7 linked regions of the Nothobranchius furzeri genome follow. The protein of the gene in region 5 purifies or fractionates together with the protein of the main gene of each other region. This does not show direct contact. Links are inferred from orthologs where the notes say so. Each region holds a gene or a part of one and is shown on either strand. Other genes may lie near its edges.

Region 1 (4,214 bases), on a different chromosome or scaffold from region 5:
AATGTCAAACTGATGAGACCTACTGCAGTTTTCTCATATTTGAATACCATACAGTGTAGATTAATCTGAAAAACACAACTAAACCAGAACATTTTCAACTTTTCTCACTTATTAAAGCAAAGTGTTTATCATCTACTTCACATCTACTTCAATATTGCATTGCTGACAGCAGTAAAGGAGAGCTGCACACATGAACTCTTTACTAACACTTTCCTACGCTAACCAGCTGTGCCCCTGTGGTTTCATCCTCAGACGAAACCTTTGAAACGTCCTTCAAGGCATAAAAAAAGAAAACATGCACACCGCTTTGGGTAAAATCCTATTTGTACACTATAATTACACTTTGAAAAGTTGCAAAGTTTAAAGTTTCTAGACCTTCACTTTTTCTCTCCTCATTTCGGGTATTGATTTTGCTCTAAAACGCATGTTAGGCCAGTTGTTACACAGAACAAAGAGATTTCTCATTACACGTTGTGCCTCAGACAACTTTGAATGCTTCAGATTGGATTTACCCGCGTTATCAAGGGACAGATAAGGGAAAACGCAGTCAATAATTTTCACAACTATAGAACCACTGTTAATCTTAACAAGAAGGCCAGAGGCACTGTGAATGTGCTTGTTAACAACAAGGCAGTGGTGGAGTGATGGGTGTCTCTAATGTATTTAATGATGGAGATAAATAAAAGAAAAACATCTAAAACTGTCAAATTTGGTCAAATAAATACAAAGCAGAGCTAACCTCTTTCTCAAACAGCCCAATTTAGCTTTAAATGAAATAAAGAATGCATCATGCTGTGATGTGAGGTATAAAGTTCTAATAAAAACAAGTATTTACAGCTGCATATGTCATTGCCAAGTTGGACAGATTAGTTTGGATCCAATTGTGGTGCTGCTTGCAGTGTAATTACCTAGCAAAACTGTGTTTACAGAAACAAACCGTTATTAAATTGTTGGTTTTGTTAGCAGCGTTAAAAATATTTCCAAGGGAAACTGTTTTTGTACCATTAAAATCTGGTTCTTTTATCATATTTATCATATCATATTTATTTCTGATATAGAGTTGGACGTATTTGATTTTTTTTCTGTTTTACCTTTATATCTTCAGAGTTTAACATTCATGGTCGTGTAAATCAGTCTAAGAATGTGCAATCACACACACACACACATTCAGATTTTATGAAAGAAAATCTATAAGAAATGCTTTCAGTCAAAATATTATAAAGTCCTGGACAAAACATTGTAGCTGGAATCTTGTTTTAGGGCTTTTGGTGAGATTTTCACACACTGAATTAACAAAAAATGTGTTTAAATTGCACTTAAAGTGTTTTGGAGGTGTCAATCTATCAAGTTAGCAGCAGTGAGACGCCAGTCTCCCTTTTCAGAAGAGCGTTTGCATATAATCTCGCGATAACACGACGCTGTCACCAAGGGGAACGGGATTTTAAAAAGTTGTCTGCTCTGTTTACAGTACTGAGATTCTCTGTCAGAAATCGACAATTTAATAAGAGATCTGATTTTGTTTATCCTACTAGTTCAAGGAGACATGCAGCAGCGTCGCATATGAAGGAACCACGATGTCATGAATTATCAGTGTTTGGCTCTGTCGTCCCCTCACAGCGAGGTTTGTAATAGTTTTATCACGAAGGCAACATTAGCTTGCCCATGCTAGCTAACAGTCGTAGTTCTAGTGATTTCAACAACAGCGTGTTTTTGCAGGGTGATGTGATGCTAAGTAATGAAATGTTAACTTTTAGTTATTTGCATCACAGTAACGTTAAAATGGCGGGTAAATAATCGCAGTAAAAGAAGTTTACGTAGCTAAAATTGATGGTTCGCGCTTAGATTCAATAGTGAGTGTTGACTGAAATGGCTAACTTTACTTTATTCCCATACAGGTGTCAACCTCAACGCAGTAGTAGTTAGCAAGATGCCGTCGCAACAACTACTCCAACCAGTTCTTAAACTAAAGGTGGACGAGTTGTTTCTGAACTGGCTGAGTGATCCTGAAACCCAGGCGGTCCTCAAGGATTATCTTGATTTAATCAAAAATGGACAGTATATTGACGTGGGCAGTGAAGCCCAGGACAAAAAGGCTTTGAGTTTCAATGAAAACAACAATGTGGCGTCCCAGAAGAACCGGGCAGAGAAAAAACCTGCTCCCATCGGTACCCCGTCCGCTACCCAGCCCAACAGTACGCTTCCCTCTCGCAGTAGCAGTAATACCAGAGTGACTGGACCCAATAGCAGGGTACTAAGGAGGTCTGTCAGCACACAAAAGGTAAATGATTCAAGCATGAGTTCTAAAAAATACATATATAATTTTTCTAACATGTTTTAGTCATACATAATTTTTTTGTTATTAAAACTGTAATTTAGAATAAATGGTTTGACTGGCTTTAAAGTTATCCTACCACAGGGATCTCATATAAGGGTGCTCATATCAACATCACGTAAATGTTTTCACATGATACTTGTAAATAAGAGCTTGTGACATAAAATATATGAAAAATCATGTTTTTTTAGTAGCATGTAGTTATATTTTTGACAAGTTAAAGAAAAATGCTGAGCATTTAATCAGTGATTCCAGACATCTTCGGTAAAAATACAATATTACTGCCTAATAGTTCTTTAATAATGACCAATTCTTTAGAATATTACAGCTCTTTAGAAGTTTCACTACCATTTAAACAAAGGGATAACTTTAGTAATGATGAACAGTCTGACATCACAACTCAAAAGCTCGTCCTGGGCATTAACAGCTGAAATTAGTATATTAAAATCTTCCTAGCTGGAGTTTTTCTGGGATTTTTTTTATTTTATTTTATTTATATTTTTTTGTGAACCAATGAATAGTTTCTGTGTGTGTGATGGTACAAGTTACATTGCAAAACATGCATTCTTGAGGGGGGAAGCTCCCACATTTGTGAGTACAGCACACCAGCTGTATCTTTTTGGGATCTATTTCCTCCCCTGGCTGGCCACAAGAGGCTGCTGAGGACCTTACAGGGATGATGCCATTAAGAGGTTCCCAGAACTGTCAAGTGTATGTGTCTGTAGGCCTTGAATAGGTATTAATTAAATATGTTCCTAGTGTTCAAACCTCACCCACAAAGAAATGTGGTATGAGAGGGGGGAGTGTCTGTGCCAAGCCTTTTTCTGGCACTCGTGATGTTTGTAGGTTGTGTAATAAATCTCTCATTTGTAACAAAACAGCCCAGAGGTAGATAGTTTAGGTTATAATAGAAATGTATAGCGTTGTGAAAAACTATTTGCCCCCTTCCTGATTTCTTATTCTTTTGCATGTTTTGTCACACAAAATATTTCTGATCATCAAACACATTTAACCATTAGTCAAAGATAACACAAGTAAACACAAAATGCAGCTTTGAAATGGTGGTTTTTATTATTTAGGGAGAGAACAAAATCCAAACCTACATTGCCCTGTGTGAAAAAGCAATTGCCCCCCTTGTTAAAATATAACCCAACTGTGGTGTTTCACACCTGAGTTCTATTTCTGTAGCCACCCCCAAGCTTGATTACTGCCACAGCTGTTTCAATTAAGAAATCACTTAAATATGAGCTGCCTGACACAGCGAAGTAGACCAAAAGCACCTGAAAGGCTAGACATCATGCCAAGATCCAGAGAAATTCAAGAACTTTTGAGAACCAAAGTCAGTGAGATCTATCAGTCTGGTAAAGGTTATAAAGCCATTTCTAAAAATTTGGGACTCCAGCGAACCACAGCGGGAGCCATTATCCACAAATGGCAACAACATGGAACAGTGGTGAACCTTCCCAGGAGTGGGCGGCCGGCCAAAATTACCCCAAGAGCGCAGAGACCACTCATGCGAGAGGTCACTAAAGACCCCAGGACAACTTCTAAAGAACTGTAGGCCTCACTTGCCTCAATTAAGGTCATTGTTCACGACTCCACCATGACAAAGAGACTGGGCAAAAATGGTCTGCATGGCAGATTTCCAAGACGTAAAACACTGTTAAGCAAAAAGAACATTAGGGCTCATCTCAATTAGGGCTGCTCGATTATGGCAAAAATAATAATCACGATTATGGTGACTGAAATTGAGATCACGATTATTTAGGACGATTTTTCAATTTATGTTGATTTTATTTGTTTTTATTCAGTCATAAAATTGCTCAGGGCACAATCAGGACAAAAATAAGAAACAAGATGATCACTAAAATAACTCCTGATT
Region 2 (3,500 bases), on a different chromosome or scaffold from region 5:
TCCTTCTGCTGCTGTGGAAGAGCATCTTGGTAAGAAAGGAACATAAGGACACTTAAGTTCACCCTCAGAATTAAGTGCATTTTCTGTGCAGGCGTTAGTCATTTTCATTAACTTTGGCTGTGATGATGATGAGGTCCCTTGACATTTTTTTGTGTCACTGACTCATTCAAACGACATTTTTCTAACAAAGCTAAATGTTGCCATAAATATATTTTATTTCACTTAATCTATATTCTTGTGCGTAGAGACCTGAATGTGAGTTTTTCTGAATATCTGACACTCCACACAAAATAAAGGGTAAACAAAAATTATTTTTATGCCCATTTGTGACTCTCCAAAGCTCTGACAACCCCCCCCTCCCCCCCCCAAAAAAAACAAGTCCTCATGACATAACGCACAAGGAACTATTAAATTTTATTTTATTTTTTTTCAATGTTGATTTTTCTTTAAAAAAAAACATGGCACCAAAGGGGCTAAATCTCAAACACATAAATATTTTCCTTTGTTTGGTGAGGACTGAAGCTAAGGATGGAATTTGTGTTAAAAATTTTACTTTTGAAAAATATTATTTTAATTGCATCTTTTGATCAAAGTAATGTTTTTGTGCAAAGAGCCTCCAATGTAGCTTTTATTAAAGGAACCTGTTAGGGTTAAACAAAGTCTAGTGGATCCACAAAGAAGCACTTTTTTCTTTCAGTTCACTCTTGGAGGGTTTGAGCAGCTTCAGGGCATTAAGGTCTGCAAGCGTGAGGAGCTGGGCCTTCCTCCTCTCCCGGAGGACAGCATTCGAGTCATTCGCAGCATGAGGGCAGCATCTCCTCCCGCTTCTGCGTCCGATCTGATTGAACAGCAACAGAAGCGGGCCCGGCGGGAACACAAGGTACTCGACACTGCTGCTGCGTTTAAATATTCCAGGTCACAGAAAACCACTTTGAAGTAAGAGGAGGATGAGCTGTTTACTGGTGTTTTGCTCTGTTTAATATTGTTATCACTACTGCGTTTATTAAGTTTTCTCAAATGAACCGTTTAGACCCATTTTTCAGGCTCTTTGTGGTAGTTCAGTGTTTTTCCTCCTGTCATGCTGCAGCTGGGCTCCAGTCTGAGTGTAATGATGCATATCTGAACTCGTTCCAGGCTCTGATCAAACAGGACAACCTGGACGCTTTCAATGAAAAGGATCCCTACAAGGCCGACGACTCTCGCGACGACGAGGATGACAACGATGACAATGACAACTCTTTAGAGCCGGAGACTTTTCCTATAGAAAGAGACGAGGTGATGCCTCCACCCATTCCCCACCCACCATCAGAGAGGATGTCCTTCCCTAAAGGTCTTCCGTGGGCTCCCAAAGTCAGGTACGTCTCAGTCTCACCCCACAAACCTGCAGATTTAACTAGGGATGGACAATATGTCGGCATCAATATCGGTACCGGCTGATGTTCGTCGTTTTTTAACATATCTGTATCGGTTTGATAAATAAAACCGGGCGGATATGAACAACCAATATTTTTTCCATCTTGTCTCCATTTGTTTGCCTGTTTCAGAGGGTGGGGTGGGGGGTGGGGGGATGTGTAATACTTAAGTCATGTAAACAGTAAATGAAATCATCTCAGAAACGTAAATGTGTATGGGGTGTGTACGTAATAACGTAACTTCAGCTTTAATAATTTTCATTTTATACAAAATCTGCTGATTTTAGAAGCATTAATGTCAGTATATCGGTATTGGCAAATATCGGTTCTTTTTCTAACTTCGTTCGGTGTTTCATTATGGGAATCGCCCTGGCGTGACCAACTATGGAAGCTCCAATGACATCACGTCTGTCCCTGCGCCGTGCCCAGGCTCCGCCCACCCAGTATATACACGGCCAACCTACCCCTCAAACTCATTCTCGCTTTCTTCCCGTGAGGAACTACACTTTGCTCCCTCAGCGATTTTCAGGCCATCTTTGTTTAGCTGCTTAACTGTTCCGAGGCGTCCCCTCAGGATTAGTCGCCGAACGCAGTCTGGATTTGAGCTGAGTAAGTGCGTCTAAGGCCGGGCGTACACTGTGCGACTTTTTCACTTTTTTTGAGCCGATTTTCCACTCGTGCGAGAATCCACGAGATCGGGGCGAGTTTTGCGCCGAGCGTCGTGTACGAGAGGCGATTAACACCACGTGACCAGCTACCGATCAGCAATCGTGAGGTCGCACAAACTTCTGGCATGTTTAATATTTTGCTCGTCCCTCGTGAGGTTATCGCACTGTTGAAGCGGCGCTGTGAGCAGCTGCGACCCAAAAAGTATCAGAACCGCTCACGGCGCATGCGCAATCATGCATCAACACCGCTCGCCCGCTATTTCCCTAATAACACACGTTGTTCATTTTTATTTCTACACGTTTTTTTACTCACAAAGATTGTCAAGAAAGCGTGTTTGTCGTGTTCATGTCAAATTAAACTGATCACAAAACACAGATTTACTTTCTTTATTTCGTTTTCCTCATCCAACCCCCATAAATCCCTGTGTGTCCTCCTGCAGCTCTCCCGAAGGACAACAGGCAAGACAAGACAAAAAAGTATGACGTGTTGAGTAAAAACTGCTATTTTTAGCATATTTTTAGGGCCGACGTGTTGCTACCAGACGTACAGTGTGAGCAGTCGGATCGCATCCGAGAACTGGGTCGTACAGTGTGAGCACATGACTCGTGAGATCTGCCCTGCGAGGAAGTCGTACAGTTTGAGCTGAAGCTGAGTGCTACGCCCAGCTTAAGTCACTTGTCACACTTCACTAGGAACAGTCAACGCGTCACGGCGAACTTCCCCTACGGCTACTCTGTTGTCATTGACGGAGTGGTATTAGCGAGTGTGGCTCAAGCGAACGCGTTGAGGCGAGCTTGTCCTGTGCTTATTTAGCATTTATTTGCTAATGAGCTACTTTGGTGCCGCTAACGTGTCGCAACGAGTTGCGCTACATACAAAATATAGCTTTAGTTGCAGACTTACACCTGCTAACTAGCTTACTAACGCTTTTTCAGACTAACATGTCATGACTAGTCAGGTTGTCAGCTATGGCTTCCACCCCTATCCCAACGGACGGGTCGGAACCGAAGGCTAAAGAGGCTGCATCCCGCCTGTGCCCGGCATCATGTGGGGCTTCTATTTCAGGCAGGGACCCTCATCCTATGTGCATAGCTTGCATGGGTGCTGCTCATGCCCAGGCATCGCTGGCTAACCCGCAGACATGCCCTCACTGCTCCTCCATGCCGGAGAAGATAAGGGAAAGGAGGCTGAGAGTGGCAGTGGCTAACGGCCGGGACCCAGGCCTCTGCTCGGGCACGCCTGTTGATAAAGGTGACAACCATCAGCCACGAGCCTCCACTAGCTGGGCGGATATGATGGAAGAGGAGCCCCCGCTACCTCCTCTGTTCGAGGGGCTGGTGGACAGCGGGCTGCTTGATGCCGGTGATGACGAGGCTGGAGGTGATGTGAACTCAGATCTCCTCGACTTGGACATGGAAG
Region 3 (3,500 bases), on a different chromosome or scaffold from region 5:
TGACTAGTTTTTAACCTTATTAAAAACTGTTTATTTTTTTATTTTATTTTTTTTATCAGATGCAACAATGAACTCCACCCATAAAAATATGTCTTTTCAATAGTTATCCAATTAAAAAGGGCAAATCATAAGCTTTTGTAGAACATTTCAGTTCTGTTTTTCTTTCTGTATTCATATATGAATTTAAAAAGGTGAAATAACTAGAAAATTTCAGGCTTACGATGAATTTTAAAAGTTCACAAGCTTTATTTTGAAACGTCAAAATAGATGTTATTGCATTTAATTCATATAAAACCATAAATAGTTAAATCTACTCATGGGGGTTTGGAGGAAATTTGAGTTCTCTTTCTATTTATGTTTTTGTTTATGTATTAATTTAAAGGCACACTTGGCATTTTTGCTTGCTTTTAGCACCCCCTAGTGTCCACTATTAATTCAGAGGTCAAACTAAAATTTAACTTCTCTCCTCGCTGTGGGTTCGTTTGTTTAATTACCTTAATCTATCAGCTGAAATGTCCCTTTAGCCTTCATTATTTTCTACAGGAGTGGTTCATCACTAAATCAAACAAATCAGCTGTGTTTATGATCTAAAACATGCAGAAAACATGTTGAAAGCAGAATGAAGCTCTACTAAGTCAGCTTCCCCCACCAGCAGGCCTGGACCAGCAACTCTGAAGTTGCAATTGCGATGTTCTGGCCATAAAGGGCCTTGTTAAAGGTCATTTTAACACATATTGAATCAAGAAAATGATTTTAAAATATGAAAAAGCTGCATAGTATCCCTTCAAAAAAGAAAAACACAATTTTACCAGGTACAGACAGAATGATGCACTTTATATTTCACAAGCTTTATTCTGAAACATTAACATAGATTTTAATAAATTTCTATGCAAATAATTCATAAAATATATACTGAGGGGAGTGATGTGTAATAGGAAAACATGTACATTTTCTTAATACTGATGTCATTAGACTGAACCTGTATGTAGAATTCTCACTGCAACATTGATGCTCCATTGTCTTCATAGCTGTAATGGTGCGAAGAGCAGCGTGGCTCCGTCTACCTTGTAGCATTTTTCCTCTTTTCCACACAAGGCTTTTAGTGTTTTAGTAGGCCACCTGCACTGTCCCGTGATCCGCCCAGGAGAAACCAGCGGCCCACGGGGGAGTCAGTTGACACGGAGACACCAGGAACACAAGACTCTTAAATAATTGAGGGACAAATGCTTGGAGGCCAGTTGTAAGGACAAAGTTAAGTTCAACGTAAAAGAAAACTCAAACATCAGGTTGAACATTGTTCTGTCCTTTTATAGTTGTAGGTATTGTTCAGTGATAAATGGCGTAAAATACTTATAGTGTCTTTTCTATTTCTTGTCTTTCAGTTTGCTGTAAATATGTTTAGGACATTGCCTCCATCATCCAACCCAACAGGAGCAGAGTTTGATCCTGAGGAGGATGAGCCAACACTTGAAGCTGCGTGGCCTCACCTCCAGGTTCATCCATACTACTACCGTTCTTCTTCAGTGCATTTAAACTTTGAAATCCCTTCCAACATCTGGTTTTCTGTCATTTTGCAGCTCGTCTATGAATTTTTCCTTAGGTTTTTAGAATCACCGGACTTCCAGCCCAATATAGCAAAGAAATACATCGACCAGAAATTTGTTATGCAGGTGCAAAAATATCACATTCTCATTATTATTTTTATGCAGTTCAAGATAAGTCCCTTTAGAGGCAGCAGAGCTGGTGATGTTTTTAGTGTAAAACATGCATTTTTTAAAATTTCAGCTCCTAGAACTGTTCGACAGTGAAGATCCAAGAGAGAGAGACTTCCTGAAAACGACTCTCCACCGGATCTATGGGAAGTTTCTGGGTCTGAGAGCGTACATCAGAAAACAGATCAATAACATTTTCTATAGGTCAGTGCTGTCTTCTGTCACCACTCACACACACACACACAGATCTTAGTTTGTTCCACTGAGCAAGGCTCTTTGTTTTTACAGGTTTATCTATGAAACGGAGCACCATAACGGTATAGCCGAACTACTGGAAATACTTGGAAGGTAAAGTGCACACCTACGGCCGTAATTCAGTTTTTTATGTTCTACATCTGAGCTAATAAAAAAGATTCATACTCTTTGTAAATGCTTTAATTTTTTTAAATTATTTTTATATGTTTTTTTTTTTTTTTTTTTTTTTTTAAGTTTCAAATCTTAACCGGAACAAAATGGAGTTTGTTTTAACAATCACAAATCTGTTATAGTTTATATTTGTTACAGAAAATTGAAAAAAAAAATGCTAGAATTACGACTTCTCAAAAGTTCTGAGATTTTTTTCCTCATAATTCTCAGATATGAGAAAAAAGCCGAATACAAGTTTTATTTTGGTGGATCGAGGGGAAAAACGGCAGACCCCTGTCAGATCTGTGATCTATGCTTATTCAGACTTGAAAAATCAATCCCATCAACTTGTTTTGTTTATGTTCTGTAGAAAATGTTCCCAAATGGTAACAAACTTAATTCCCTTCCTGTTGTCAAATGTCCTGATGGCTCTTTTTGTGTTTCTTTGTGCAGCATAATCAATGGTTTTGCCTTACCACTGAAGGAGGAGCACAAGATTTTCCTGTTGAAGGTTTTATTGCCTCTGCACAAAGTCAAATCACTCAGTGTCTACCATCCACAGGTATGTCCTTAAGCCTATAATTAAATGAGGAAAGCCGCATCTTTAGTGTCTGACGTAGATTCTGAAAGGTGTACACAGTAAACTCTTTACCACTGAAATTTACTTAGAAACGACTAGATTCGCTGTTTTGCCTGAACCTGCTAGCCTCCGCCTGCAATAAAAATTTCAGTCTTCAAGCATTTGGCTTCCTCAATTGGTTTTCAGATTTAAATGTTGTTTTTGTTTGTTTTACAGCTGGCCTACTGTGTGGTGCAGTTTTTGGAAAAGGACAGCACTCTAACTGAGCCGGTATGTCATCAAAGCGTTGTTCCCGTCTTGTTATCCTCCCTAATGGTTAATAACAACCACCCGTCCTCTCTGACCGGTTATTAACAACTACCTGTCCTCCCATCAGGTGGTAATGGCTCTACTAAAGTACTGGCCAAAGACTCACAGTCCCAAGGAAGTGATGTTCCTCAACGAGCTGGAGGAGATCTTGGATGTCATCGAACCATCAGAGTTTGTTAAAGTTCAGGAACCTCTCTTCAGACAGCTGGCTAAGTGTGTGTCCAGCCCACATTTCCAGGTAAAAAAAACCTTTTTATAATGTAAAATAAAAATGGTAAAAGTTTCTTAGATTAATCCAGTTTGAGTTAATGCAAATAAATCAAATGCAATTCAAATGTTCGCCCGATGAAGAACAGAAATTGGGATTAGTCGTGAGAGACGCACGCATTGAAAGAGACACTCTGACACGTTATCTTGTTTGAATTAATGTGTATATATATGTCGATGGTGCCACCAGAAACATTCAAACCATTTTTAAAAGAGAAGTTGAGCTT
Region 4 (2,896 bases), on a different chromosome or scaffold from region 5:
AAATGTTTCAACTTTCTGGGATCGCGTCGCTGGGTCGCCTGTGCACGACACGCGCACGAGCGCAAAAATTCACACGCACGTTTTTCGTATTTCGCTTGGTAGGAGAGAGACCCGTTTAGATGATTAAACGATCACCATGGTTACCACTCTCTCCAATGCAATATGCCATTGTTTAGTTTTCCTTTGATTCTTTCAAAATAATTGAAGTTACCAAATACTTTTTACTCCACTAAATTATTTATGTACGACCGAACACATACCCTGCGTAGGTTTGCATGAAATCTAACGTGGAAAATGAAAGCAAACATGTCAGTTATTTTTTTAAAACCAAATCAGCTGAGAGTCAGAAAACAGGAGCGATGCTTCTGGTCTTTACGTCCCCTGACAGCTCATGTGGGATTGTGACGAACAAACACCTTTTGGAGCGGCTCGTGAAGACTTCATGTTGTATAAAAAGCGAGTTAGGTTCAAGCTAAAGGGCGCAGAGATGCCCCCCCCCCCCACACACACACACTTTGTCCCACCATCACGTAGTCTTTGTGAAAACACGTGATGGCGTTACAGACTCACCACTTATAAACGACCAAAGCCTCCCTGGTGCTGCCTCAGCTCTGCAGCAAAGTAACGCCGAGTTTCTTGAAGAGGCCGGAGTTGCGGGAAAGTTTTGCTAATCCTTCCTCGAGTGTCGGCTGGTTAGGATCAACGACCACCAGCTTCCTGTCGTCCAACCCAGGATGGAATTGTGTAAGGTGCTGTCGCGAGTCGGTGGTGTTGCTGTGGTATTTGATTTTAGTTTTACACACTTTACTTTAATCCTCCTGATGAGTACATCTCACGCTCAGTGGCTAAAGCTAATAAGAAGCTTCCATGTTAGCGGTTTTGTTTTTTCCGCTGGTCCGTCCCTCTAAAGCAGGGGTGTCAAATACGCGGCCCGAGGGCCGAATCCGGCCCGCAAGCGGGTTAAATCCGGCCCGCGAGATGGTTGTGTAAACTTTGTTTTCATACTTTACAATGTAGAGTGAAAATAAACGTATCTTTGTGAGCAAGTTTCCTCTGTAATGAGTATAAATAAAACAAAGCTGCGCTCAAGGCTCACACAAGAACTTGAATCACATCCTGAAGTTGGCCGCCACTCAGGATGTGACTTCTGATGTTGATGTGCTGGTGAAAGCTAAAAGATGTTAAGTAAAATGAGTCAAATATACTTTAAGTGCTGCATGAAACTGATCTAGCCATGTGATCTGTAAGCTCTTTGAATCACTAAGGAATGTTTTTATTTATTTATTGTTTTTTTTATTTTTTTTCAAATTTTCAAGTACACTTCAGGTGTTGTACTTTTACTACACTGTCCTCAGGCTCCAGCCTTGTTTTATATTGATTGTATTAAAACAAAGAAAACAATCTGAAGTTTTTTTTTTTTATTTACCGGTCCGGCCCACTTGGGACCAGATTTCCCTCGATGTGGCCCCTGAGCTAAAATGAGTTTGACACCCCTGCTCTAAAGTGTCTGGGCGGCGTGAGTAACTTATGTTCCTATCGCGCTTCACGGCAGTTTTTTGGCGTTTATTTATAATTGATTATGAACGTTTATGAATCTATAATTGATCATAGATTAAGTGGTGAATCTGCTCACCTCTAGTGCATGGATATTAGCTTCTTATCACCGTAGGACCCATAACTGGTATTTGTGAATTTCTCTGTTTTGTTTTCAAACCAGGAACCCCTTGTCACATCAACAAAGTCCTCAGTCACCCCACTCTTCCAATCACCATCACAGCCCAGGAGGACAGGCACATCAAGTTCTTTGACAACAACAGCGGGAAGCTGGTTCACTCCATGGTGGCCCACCTGGACGCGGTCACCAGCTTGGCTGTGGATCCCAACGGGCTCTATCTCATGTCTGGAAGTGAGTATATGTCAAATTAATGTTGTCGTTATTAGAAGATAACAGATGACCGAACTGGGTCTGGCGGTTGACTTCTCACATCCCGTCCTCCTGTGAACAGGTCATGACTGCTCCATCCGCCTGTGGAACCTGGAGAGTAAAACCTGCATCCAGGAGTTCACGGCCCACAGGAAGAAGTTCGAGGAGTCGATCCACGATGTGGCGTTCCATCCGTCTAAATGCTACATTGCCAGCGCCGGGGCAGATGCTCTCGCCAAGGTGTTTGTATGACGTGGAGCTCCCGTGTGTTCCCCTCCTCCTCCCCACCATCACAGCTTCGCTCTCTGACTCAGTCTTTCAGGATCAGGGACCAGTAGAGACTCAGCGGGGGGGTGGGGGCGCTACCAGGCAGGGGTCCGGTCCCATCTCACTCAGCCCACTGGTCACCTCTCAGACTTCATAGCCTCCAAAAGGCTGGGACTCTCCTCCAAGAGGGTTGGCAGGAAGTCCAGTCGGGAGTAGAGCTGCTCTCTGGTCCCCTCCCTCCTCCACCCACCATCCAGGCAGGCCTGGGTGTGACTGGCCACAGAGCCCCTGCAGACTCAAACTTAACCCTCCTCTACAGAAAGGACAAGTGTTAGAGGAGTGGAGGAATGGGGTTCCACCCCTCGCCCCTCTTCCTGCTTATTCCAGCTCCTTCAGATCCTCATCCATAAAAAAAAAAACAAGTCCAGACCCTTTTCTCCAAGTCAGGTTGTGCGTCCGAACCGCCAGGTGCCGACCCAGAAGCCTCCCACGTCCTCTTCTCTGCCTCCCAGACGGACTCTGCTTGCTGACCTGCCTTTCTTTGTTCCTCTTTTTTTAAACCTAATATTGACAAATGTGCCTTTGCTTTAAAAAGGTCTTTAAAATGTTCTTTTAACAAGCTTTCTTTGTGAGGGGGTGTTGAAAACGAGGGAGGGAGGGGAGGAGAATCGGAGCGGGGGGTCACAATGTTGTCAGTTTTAACAT
Region 5 (3,500 bases):
TTTTGGGTTGTAATGCGAAACTTAAAAGGTCAACGTATCAAGTCGGAGACTCTTGGATAAGTGAATCGATTTTTCTTCCAAATCAGTGAACTGGAACAGGATCGGGGGTCCAATAACTGATCTGGTGGAGCTCACCACCACACAAGAGGTGATGTGCAGCAAAAAGCACAGAAACAGTAATTAAGGTAGTTTAGGCCTTCTACAGAGATCATCAGCAGCGTTCTGTATTCATGCTGAGTTAACTGCCGTGTGGTGGATGTTGGAGTGACCCTGTGATGGTGTGACACCCCCTCCAGGTGAGATGCCCGGTGACGGTGTGTGGGGATGTCCACGGTCAGTTCCACGACCTGATGGAGCTGTTTAAGATTGGTGGGAAGTCCCCCGACACCAACTACCTGTTCATGGGAGACTATGTGGACAGAGGCTACTACTCTGTGGAGACGGTCACTCTGCTGGTCACGTTAAAGGTAAATCACAGGTTAATGAGCCACATTCTGCCGTTTGACCAGAAACTAAACAGTTTTTAATCGTCAGAAAAAAACTTTCATATTTTCTAAGTTCGTAGACGTTTGTTTTTCTCCTGTTTTTGATCAGATTTAATGTTCAGAAACGCTTTAAAGCTGTGAGGGTAACAGATCTGATGAACAAATGTCTGAACTCGTTCTTCCCACCACTCCAAATCTTCTAAAAATAATCCTCGTTAGTCTGATTTTCTTTGAGAGGCGTCTCTGAGGTTTTGGGTCAACATGAAAACAACCTAAAGCCAAAAGGAGGCCTGTTGCTGCATTTAAATCTGTTTCTCGTGAGGTGGTCCCAGGTGGGCCGAGTTACGGGCTCCACTTTGTAAACCGTCGGGGTCGATGTTATTTCTGACATGCAGATAAAATCTGTTTTATTCAGTAAATCTACAGTTCAGTGCTGCAAAGTTCAGAGTTTTTCACCCAGACGGTCACCAACGCCAACATCAGACGCTTGTGGGTCTGATGTTTGTGTTGGATGCTGCTGTCGGTGTGTTGATGGGTTTACCGTCCAGCTTTACTGTATCGGTAATAGGGTTGTCACGGTAACCGGTGTAGCGGTACACCCTGGTAAAAAAAAAAAAAGTTGACAATAATAACCGTCTTGTTTTTAAAACACATATTATCTCGGTGGGTTACCGTGGCTGCGGTGTAGGCGCGGTGACCCTTACCAGCCACCGTATCATCTGCTGAAGTTGCCGGCGGCACATGCGCACTTTGTTGTTTACAACCAAAACTTTCTTGAAGCTAAAGCTGAAATAATGTCCAAAGGAGGAGACGGCAGCACTCAGGACATTTATTATCCCTCAAAGAAGACAAAGTGGGAAGTACGGGCATCTTTTGGATATCTGAAGAATGCCGAGGGACAGTTGATAGAAGACGGCTATCCTGTTTGCAGCACGTGCAGAAAAAGTGTCTGTGAAAGGCAGCAACGCTTCAAATCTCATGACACATCTGCGTGACCATCGCCCACAACTCTACAGTCAACGCAAGGCAAGCTAACGTTAGCGTTTCAGCTAAAATGCGTGATCCGAGGATTTGGGTTGAGGGAGAACGCAACGAGTCGCTATATAAAGCAGCCGCAGCGCCGCTACCTGCATATAAACCGTGTCGCGGACACCCCCATGTTGAAATGACGCTATGCATTACGGGGCTCCCAGGGGCAGATAAGAGTTGGTCTCTCTCCGAGAGTAATTATGAATTTAACAACGATTACTGCCTGATGACATTTTCCCACATCTGCAATATCTTGCAAATACTGACAGCAAGAATTATACAGTGGCATTTATAACAAATAAATGCAAATAAATTGATGTTCGCAAAATGTTGCATAACATTTATTGAGTCGTGTCAAGGTGCTGTAGGAGCGTGCACTAGCACCGTGTCCTCAGAGATTAGTTATTAGTTATCAGCGTGAGGAACTTATTCTACCTTATTTATAAACTATTTATTTACAGGTCCATCAGTTAATGTAATAATTGTCCCAACCACAGCTGCACCCCCCAACCCGGTCTCACAGCAATCAGTAGGCAAGCTGCACGCGCACATTTAGCCATTTTTAGTGGCCCAGGAGTCGGCAGGTGCGGTGTGTGTCACTCACTCTGGTTAATCCAACAGGAAGCCGACTCTGAGAGCCGTTTCTTTAGCGACCGACACATCACCACATCATTCTCTTTCCTAATGTCCTGAAGAACAGTCCGGAGCACAGGCGGAGTGTTTAGCTAACCTGCAGGAAATGTCAACGACAGTTATCCAGAAAGTAGCTAAGGGTTACCAGAGATGTTTCTGAGGTGTTCGCTAGGTACTTTTAAGATTTAAAAAGTCAAGAAGGGAGTCTGAAAAGCTGCTAGAAATTAGGGCTGTTGCGGTTGAGGAATTCCCCCTGCGGTGATTCAGGGTGGCTTAATATTGCGGTGTGCGATATTATTGCAGCACTTTTTTTTATTGCAGTACTATCTAAACATAATGTTTACACATTTAAAAAAGGTTAAAAACTGCCGTGCCTTCTTTTATAACACTTTACCGAATGCAGATCAAAGGGCAGTAACAACACAGATCGCAGTAACGTTTGTTTCTCCGACAGTCCGACTGAACTTAAAAACAACAAAATTCAGGACAAGGTTAAACTTTTAAATGCAAATTTGGCTGCAGCATCTAACAAATAAGAAACAAGTCCCCATTTTGTTTAGTTGTTTAAAATCAAGCATAAAAAATTACATGTACCGGGCGCGGGGCACTATCATTTCACTTTCACACACACAAATGACGGTGCTTTATAGCTCGGTCACGTCCTTGTTACCCACAAGGAAAACCAGCATGTTAACCATATACGGTTTGAGAGAGGATCTGAGAGTGGGGGCAACATTTCCAGCAACATTGAAAACCCTCTCGGATGGTGCGCTCGTTGCACTAACGCACACGTACTTGCGTGCGACTCTGGCGAGCAAAGGGAATCTCTCCCGGTTGTTGCTCCACCATGTCAGGGGGGTTTCTTTAGGGTGGATGCATTCCTCCTGCAGGTAGCGAGTGAGCTCCAGCTCGCCTCAAACTCTCTTCGGGACGGTTGCAGAAGCAGTGCTTGTCCGGGACTTCAGTGGGTCTCCGAGCGTTTATTATTACTTTTTTGCCGCTGGTGGCAGCTCTGTCTCGGCCAAGGACTCTGGCTGCGCAGCAGCTGACGTACTGAAAACCAAAGTGCTCCCAAAGGAGCGAAGTAACGTTTCGTTTTGATACCAGTGCAGCCATCCTTCTCAACATGCATCATTGAGTTGAACCAAGTTCAGTAATCGCGGTGGGTTTCTTCATACTGCGATATTTCATTTTTGCGGTTACCGTGACAGCCCTACTAGAAATAGCGTCAAAGTCACTGAGGCCTAGTCCACACGTAGCCGGGGTTTTTTAAAAACGAATATCCGCCCCTCCAAAAACTTGCATCCACACCACCGCGTTTTACAAACAAACTCTGTCCACACGTACCCGGAT
Region 6 (2,601 bases), about 29 Mb from region 5:
CACCCACCAGGCATATAGAGTGCCCTGATTGGCCCACAAAGCGAATAAAGCTCTGTGATTTGTTCACTAAGCAGATAGAGCACTATGATTGGCCCACCATTATGGACTAATCACAGCTCTTTATGTGTTTGAAACCCCTCTAGAGAGCTGTGATTGGCTAGCCAGAGTCCTGGTAGGAGCTGCTGAGGTTCCAATGGAGCATGCCTAGACCAAACTTTGCAAAGCAAGAATTTGGTCTAGTTCACTAGGCTAAAGTTTATCGTCAATATCTAATTGTTGTTACTTCGTTCGCGCCACTCCTTTCCCCGCGAAGCGGCTCCTTTTTGCGCACATCTCGTTACTCGTGCAGCCTTCCTCTCCCTCTCCGCTACATAATGGTACTTTTTATCGATTGAATATGTGAGACTTCCACCAACAGCAAAAGGATCTCGTGTTTTTGTGGGTTTTTTATGTTCACAAGCACGTTCCCTCTCACGGATCACTTCACTGCTGTTTTGACAAGTTGTCAGATTGTCTAAAAATAGGTCGTTTAGTTTAGTGTAACTCCGCTTTTACGTTGCCTATTAACAAAATTTAAAATCTGGGGTGTAGTTTATAATCTCCTTTTTAAAGCTGAATTGAAACCGAAACTCGGGGAGGCGGAGTCTTGCTGCTACAGCTTCCCAAATCAGACCTGTTCAAAAGACGCGGATACGCGTCCATGGACCCCAGAGGGTTAACATTATGTAAAATACAATTTATTGTCTGCAACAATAAGGCTAGAATGCTATGGTCTCATCTTGGTGCTTGACAGAAGTGTGGTTTTTTTTCTGCAGGGTACAGTGTTGATAAATAATGCACAAGAACTGATGAACTTCAGTAAGGGAGAGGAGGACATGATGGAGGCCCAGGTGAAGGCCATCAAAGAAGCTGGTGCCAACGTGGTGGTAACCGGGGGCAAAGTGGCGGACATGGCGCTGCACTACGCCAACAAGTACAAGCTCATGGTGGTCCGGTAAGATCAGCAGCAGCTCCAGTGATAAAACGTTATTCTCTAGTACTCTACCAAGTTATCCTTCAGTTAATCAGATAATCATTTACATGTGGTACATTAGCATTTTTCAACCTTTTATTTTCAAGGCCCTCTACTTGTACGTATTATCCTCAATCTCCACCACAAAACTTCAGTTTATTCATTTATTGGAAACCTTTTTCGGAACATTTGACTTTTCAAAGAACAAGCTCACTGAGAAACCTCTATTACTTGTTCTTTTTTAAATTTGATCGGCCAATCTGAGTTTGAACGTGAAAATAGTCTTCTATCCCCATCTCCTGGATTATCCGCCAATAGAAGACACGAGGAAAAGCTCTGGTTCGAAGACGCCTGACAGCTCCACGTCACAAATTAGCGTTCACTGACTCACCCATCTTGGCTCACAGCAAGGAAGGCTGTTGTTTTCGTGTCCAGGAGAGAGCAGAGTGCGTTTCAGCTAGTAGAAGCTAACCGTTGGCATTAGCAACTCCATAACACAGTGGAACTCCTTCGGGCTTGTGTTATCTGTAGAGATTAAACATCAGCATTGCAAAGTGAATGAAGGCAGTGAAAGAGTTGCATTGCTGTTATCCAATCAGAGGTGAGGTGTTCAAATATCACGAATATTAATGAGTAAGACTCCATATCTGACCCCCACACACACACACACACACACACACACACACACACACACTTTTCCGAATAACTTCCTTCCACTTCCTGAAACAGAAGCGCCAGAGCTTTTTTCCCATAGAGATTGACTCACACAGCAAATGTATTAAAATAAATGAAGACTCTTCACAATTTGCTTTGGCAGTAAGGTTCAGTGAGGCTGTTTTGGGGCTCACCCGAGCTCCTGTCTCTTCAGGGTTGTAGTTCGTCATGAGCCCTAAGGGAGTTCTTCTTGATTTAAATGATCGTTCTTGTCTGCTTTGAAACCTGAAACCTTCCTTTATCTACAGGCTAAACACCAAGTGGGACCTCAGAAGGTTGTGCAAGACCGTGGGTGCTGTAGCTCTGCCTAAAATGGTTTGTAAAGTCATTTTTTCTGTTATCAGGGGTGTAAAAGTAATGAGATTAATCCTTGAGGTGTTATATATTCTTAGACGGCTCCAACTCCAGATGAGATGGGTCACTGTGACAGTGTTTACTTAACAGAAGTGGGAGACACTCAGGTGGTGGTCTTCAAACATGGCAAGTTTTGTTATTTGTTCTGTTTTTATTTTAAGTTTGTTTCTGCTTCAGCCGAGTCCCAAGTGTGATGCTTTGTCTGGCTTTGTTTTGAAACAGAGAAAGAAGATGGAGCCATCTCCACCATCGTGATCAGAGGCTCTACTGACAACCTGATGGATGACATCGAGAGGGCTATCGATGATGGAGTCAACACTTTCAAGGTGTTGGTCAGGGTAAGTCGGTGCTAATCCCTTTGCAGAGTTTTCAGATATATTCGTTTAGTCCGTTTAGCTAATTGAATTCCTGTTTTACCATTTCTCTCCAGGATAAACGACTAGTACCCGGAGCAGGAGCCACTGAGATTGAGCTTGCCAAACAGATCAGCTCATATGGAGAGGTGTGTTTGTGACTTTGGT
Region 7 (3,500 bases), on a different chromosome or scaffold from region 5:
TTTCTAGGCGCAGCCAATGTGTGGAGGGCATCCATTTTGGTGGCCTGAGGATCAGTTCTCTGCTTTTTGCGGATGATGTGGTCTTGTTGGCTTCATCAGAACATGATCTTCAGCTTTCGCTGGAGCGGTTCGCAGCCAAGTGTGAAGCAGCTGGGATGAGAATCAGCTCCTCTAAATCTGAGACCATGGTCTTGGTTCAGAAAAGGGTAGAATGCCTTCTCCAGGTCAGGGATGAGGTCCTGCCCCAAGTGGAGGATTTTAAGTATCTCGGGGTCTTGTTCACGAGTGAGGGAAAACTGGAGCGTGAGATCGATAGGCGGATTGGTGCTGCATCTGCAGTGATGCGGGCGTTGTACCGGTCTGTTGTGGTGAAAAGAGAGCTGAGTCAGAAGGCAAAGCTCTCGATTTACCGGTCGATCTACGTTCCTACCCTCACCTATGGTCATGAGCTTTGGGTAGTGACCGAAAGAACGAGATCGTGGATACAAGCGGCTGAAATGAGTTTTCTCCGCAGAGTGGCTGGGCTCACCTTCGAGATGGGGTGAGAAGCTCTGTCATTCGGGAGGGGCTCGGAGTAGACCCGTTGCTCCTCCACATCGAGAGGAGCCAGGTGAGGTGGCTCGGGCATCTGGTCAGGATGCCTCCTGGACGCCTCCCTGGTGAGGTTTACTGGGCACGTCCAACCGGGAGGAGACCTAAAGGTAGACCCAGGACACGGGGGAGCGACTATGTCTCTCACCTGGCCAGGGAATACCTTGGGATTCCCCCAGAGGAGCTGGCCCAAGTGGCTGGGGAGAGGGAAGTCTGGGCCTCTCGCCTTGTCACCACTTTACTGAGCTCCAATATTTACCAATTGGTGTCATTTGTGTTTTAGTGTAAATATGAATCTGTGAACTGAGCGTTTAGGAGAAGATGGGCAAAAATGACATCAGTTAGACAATTAAAAATAGTATTGCTGCATTTTAGACTTTGATGTTTTGCTCATTTATAATCTCTAATCTGGTCTACCTGCAGGTGTTAATCTCATTGTTGATTTCATCAGTTGTCGATCCACAAGAGCTAATTAATCATTTCATAAACTCACCGCAGGTTTTTTTGGTTGTTTTTGTCATTTATTGACATCACAGTGATAATTGCTGATTTATTTTATCCTGATACTAACCTTCAACATTTCTGCATGAAATCATGAAAAAATAGCAAAGTATATTTAATGGGATAATTTTTATACTCTGATTTTTGTGTCTTTGCAGCTGTAAAGCAGCTGAAGGAGACTGTGAGCTCTTCAATACACAAACTGGCCAACTTTGATGGTGAGCGTTTTAATAAACCATAATTATTTAGGTAGAAATATCTTGTGTGAATACAAGAAACTTGTGTAAAATTGTTGGTTAAAACATAAAAACACATCTCTACTTTGTATTCATGATTGCAGAAGTTATGGACTCCCACCTGCAAAACAACCAAACTACAGAAGACAACATCCTGGCCAGTCCTGATCGACTAAAAGGTAAAAATTACAGAACTAAGAGAGTGGAAATTCTATCTTTTTGAAGGCGTTCACAAGGATTTGAGCTGATGGCTATATAGAGCACGAGCCATTCCAGGTTAAATTTCATCCATTTAAATTAACTCGTAGCTTAAAAAAATTCCCATTTGAAGCAAACGCTGTACCATTTAAACCAGCTGTCACACCAGAGCTGAGTGCCGAGAGATGTTCATTCCTGAAAGTTTTTCAATCCAGCATCAGGACTTTCTAGTTAATCGAATTTAAACTAAATATTCTGTAAATTATAGTTCTAATCTATCAGCAGGTCAAAGCTGAACAAGTCAGAAATCATGACCTGCCCTCTAAATCTGTGCATTTCTACAAAAAAAAAAAACTGAAAACAAAACTGCTGTTGGGGCGGCAGCGAGGAGGTGGAACAGGTCGTCCAGTAATCGGAGGATCACTGGTTTCAACAAGCCCAGTTTTATTTCTATAGCACATTTAAAACAGCACGGCAGCTGACCAAGTGCTGAACAATAAGAACAGAACGCATAAAAATAAAATACAAATCACAAAATTGACACGGCAAATCAATTAAAATAATAAATGTCCAAAAGCTTGACTAAAATTATGTGATTTCAGGGCTGCTTTAAACCGGGCTAACAAGAGGTCTGCCTCACATGAAGTGGAAGTTCATCCAAAGTTTTGGGACGGCAAATGAGAAAGCTCACTTCCCCTCTGGTCTTACAGGAGTACTTGGTCAGGGGGCACGTATGGGATGAGCAGCTCAGACAGATACGAGGGGCCAAATCGTTAGTAAACAAACATTAGAACCATAAACTGAATCTGGTACCATACCATACCACCTTTATTTATATAGCACTTTAAAAACACAGCCATACGGCTGACCAAAGTGCTGAACTGTCGCACAATAACAGAGATAGAAAACATAAAACAGTACTATGAAATATGTAACGGAATTGAAGTGATGTAACTATCTAAAGTTGTATTTTAATACACTGTTAGTAGTTCACTTTTTATAAACAGAAGAGTAGGCTGTTTTTATCATCAGGGAGTTTAATTAAACACTCTGTATTGACTTTGAGACAAGAAAAGAGAGAGAGATGGGATCGTTTGAGAATCTTTAATTTCTGAATTATAAATTCTAAACAATCTACCAGGACTACTCTGTGATGGATGAGAATGGATTCGGATGTTGTGTTGGTGCGTGTGTGTGTGTGTGTGTCTGGTTCAGATTCTCTAGGCTGACGTCAAAGAATCTGGTCGTCTTTGTTATGACTAGATATCACGAGGCTTATAAAGTGATGACATGAGCCGCTATTTTGCCGTGTACGTACCCAGTGGGGGTCTCCCAGGTAGATCAGGAAATGCCAGGTCTGGAGACCTCGGATGTACGATGGAGCTGTCGGTGCAGCGATCACAACGTTTCAAAGCCCGTCTGGAGGGTCGACCCCGGTACCGTTCGTCGGCGTCAGCAGGTGCTCTTATTTTGAAAGGACGTCGTCTGGTTGTTAAACGACGAAAATCTCCCGCTTCACAGTTCTTAGTTTAAAGAAGAAAACACATCTGGCCAGGCTGCGCTTTTCTTTAGGATGATGGTGAATAGAACTGAAGTCAAAATGGAACTGACTTAAAATGGCGTTGCCTTGTTTTATATCTCTGAATTGTTGATAAGTTGAACCGTCACCTTATCGTGGTGGAGGAGTTTGAGTGCCCTAATGATCCTAGGAGCTATGTTGCCTGGGGCACTTAGTGCCCCTGGTAGGGTCTCCCATGACAAATTGGTCTTAGGTGAAGGGTGAGACAAAGAACGGTTCGAAGGATCTTTCATGGCGGTGAAAACGAAGAGTCGGAGTACCCGGCCCGGAGGGTTACCGGGGTCCCACCCTGGAGCCAGGCCTGGGGTTGGGGCCCGTGAGCGAGCGCCTGGTGGCCGGGCTTTCGCCCATGGGGCCCGGCCGGGCCCAGCCCGAACCGGATACATGGGCTCGTC

Evidence for each region.
Region 1: the proteins of serine/threonine-protein phosphatase 2A catalytic subunit beta isoform (region 5) and ppp2r3b purify together in Homo sapiens (affinity purification with mass spectrometry; 3 studies listed by BioGRID and IntAct, counting the BioPlex papers as one, with this or other methods). This does not show direct contact. The link is inferred for Nothobranchius furzeri from reciprocal best matches to the Homo sapiens genes PPP2CB and PPP2R3B.
Region 2: the proteins of serine/threonine-protein phosphatase 2A catalytic subunit beta isoform (region 5) and strip1 purify together in Homo sapiens (affinity purification with mass spectrometry; 6 studies listed by BioGRID and IntAct, counting the BioPlex papers as one, with this or other methods). This does not show direct contact. The link is inferred for Nothobranchius furzeri from reciprocal best matches to the Homo sapiens genes PPP2CB and STRIP1.
Region 3: the proteins of serine/threonine-protein phosphatase 2A catalytic subunit beta isoform (region 5) and ppp2r5ca purify together in Homo sapiens (affinity purification with mass spectrometry; 3 studies listed by BioGRID and IntAct, counting the BioPlex papers as one, with this or other methods). This does not show direct contact. The link is inferred for Nothobranchius furzeri from reciprocal best matches to the Homo sapiens genes PPP2CB and PPP2R5C.
Region 4: the proteins of serine/threonine-protein phosphatase 2A catalytic subunit beta isoform (region 5) and striatin purify together in Homo sapiens (affinity purification with mass spectrometry; 5 studies listed by BioGRID and IntAct, counting the BioPlex papers as one, with this or other methods). This does not show direct contact. The link is inferred for Nothobranchius furzeri from reciprocal best matches to the Homo sapiens genes PPP2CB and STRN.
Region 6: the proteins of serine/threonine-protein phosphatase 2A catalytic subunit beta isoform (region 5) and cct8 purify together in Homo sapiens (affinity purification with mass spectrometry; 4 studies listed by BioGRID and IntAct, with this or other methods). This does not show direct contact. The link is inferred for Nothobranchius furzeri from reciprocal best matches to the Homo sapiens genes PPP2CB and CCT8.
Region 7: the proteins of serine/threonine-protein phosphatase 2A catalytic subunit beta isoform (region 5) and slmapa purify together in Homo sapiens (affinity purification with mass spectrometry; 3 studies listed by BioGRID and IntAct, counting the BioPlex papers as one, with this or other methods). This does not show direct contact. The link is inferred for Nothobranchius furzeri from reciprocal best matches to the Homo sapiens genes PPP2CB and SLMAP.

Annotation. Positions count from the first base shown.
Region 1 is NC_091754.1:29,703,229-29,707,442, forward strand, and holds the start of ppp2r3b (serine/threonine-protein phosphatase 2A regulatory subunit B'' subunit beta), read left to right. Parts: upstream 1-1,414; 5' UTR 1,415-1,560; coding exon 1,561-1,621; intron 1,622-1,895; coding exon 1,896-2,278; intron 2,279-4,214. UniProt on the Homo sapiens protein: The B regulatory subunit might modulate substrate selectivity and catalytic activity, and might also direct the localization of the catalytic enzyme to a particular subcellular compartment.
Region 2 is NC_091743.1:46,742,398-46,745,897, forward strand, and holds part of strip1 (striatin-interacting protein 1 homolog), read left to right. Parts: coding exon 1-29; intron 30-697; coding exon 698-880; intron 881-1,134; coding exon 1,135-1,355; intron 1,356-3,500. UniProt on the Homo sapiens protein: Plays a role in the regulation of cell morphology and cytoskeletal organization. Required in the cortical actin filament dynamics and cell shape. Part of the striatin-interacting phosphatase and kinase (STRIPAK) complexes.
Region 3 is NC_091758.1:28,651,073-28,654,572, reverse strand, and holds part of ppp2r5ca (serine/threonine-protein phosphatase 2A 56 kDa regulatory subunit gamma isoform), read left to right. Parts: intron 1-1,382; coding exon 1,383-1,493; intron 1,494-1,577; coding exon 1,578-1,670; intron 1,671-1,785; coding exon 1,786-1,916; intron 1,917-2,000; coding exon 2,001-2,060; intron 2,061-2,570; coding exon 2,571-2,679; intron 2,680-2,913; coding exon 2,914-2,967; intron 2,968-3,073; coding exon 3,074-3,244; intron 3,245-3,500.
Region 4 is NC_091752.1:1,673,599-1,676,494, reverse strand, and holds the end of striatin, read left to right. Parts: intron 1-1,717; coding exon 1,718-1,906; intron 1,907-2,006; coding exon 2,007-2,176; 3' UTR 2,177-2,396; downstream 2,397-2,896. UniProt on the Homo sapiens protein: Calmodulin-binding scaffolding protein which is the center of the striatin-interacting phosphatase and kinase (STRIPAK) complexes.
Region 5 is NC_091750.1:36,852,041-36,855,540, forward strand, and holds part of serine/threonine-protein phosphatase 2A catalytic subunit beta isoform, read left to right. Parts: intron 1-296; coding exon 297-467; intron 468-3,500.
Region 6 is NC_091750.1:65,571,857-65,574,457, forward strand, and holds part of cct8 (T-complex protein 1 subunit theta), read left to right. Parts: intron 1-815; coding exon 816-994; intron 995-1,974; coding exon 1,975-2,041; intron 2,042-2,118; coding exon 2,119-2,206; intron 2,207-2,302; coding exon 2,303-2,418; intron 2,419-2,510; coding exon 2,511-2,582; intron 2,583-2,601. UniProt on the Homo sapiens protein: Component of the chaperonin-containing T-complex (TRiC), a molecular chaperone complex that assists the folding of actin, tubulin and other proteins upon ATP hydrolysis.
Region 7 is NC_091743.1:68,934,241-68,937,740, forward strand, and holds part of slmapa (sarcolemma associated protein a), read left to right. Parts: intron 1-1,250; coding exon 1,251-1,310; intron 1,311-1,432; coding exon 1,433-1,507; intron 1,508-3,500. UniProt on the Homo sapiens protein: Associates with the striatin-interacting phosphatase and kinase (STRIPAK) core complex, forming the extended (SIKE1:SLMAP)STRIPAK complex.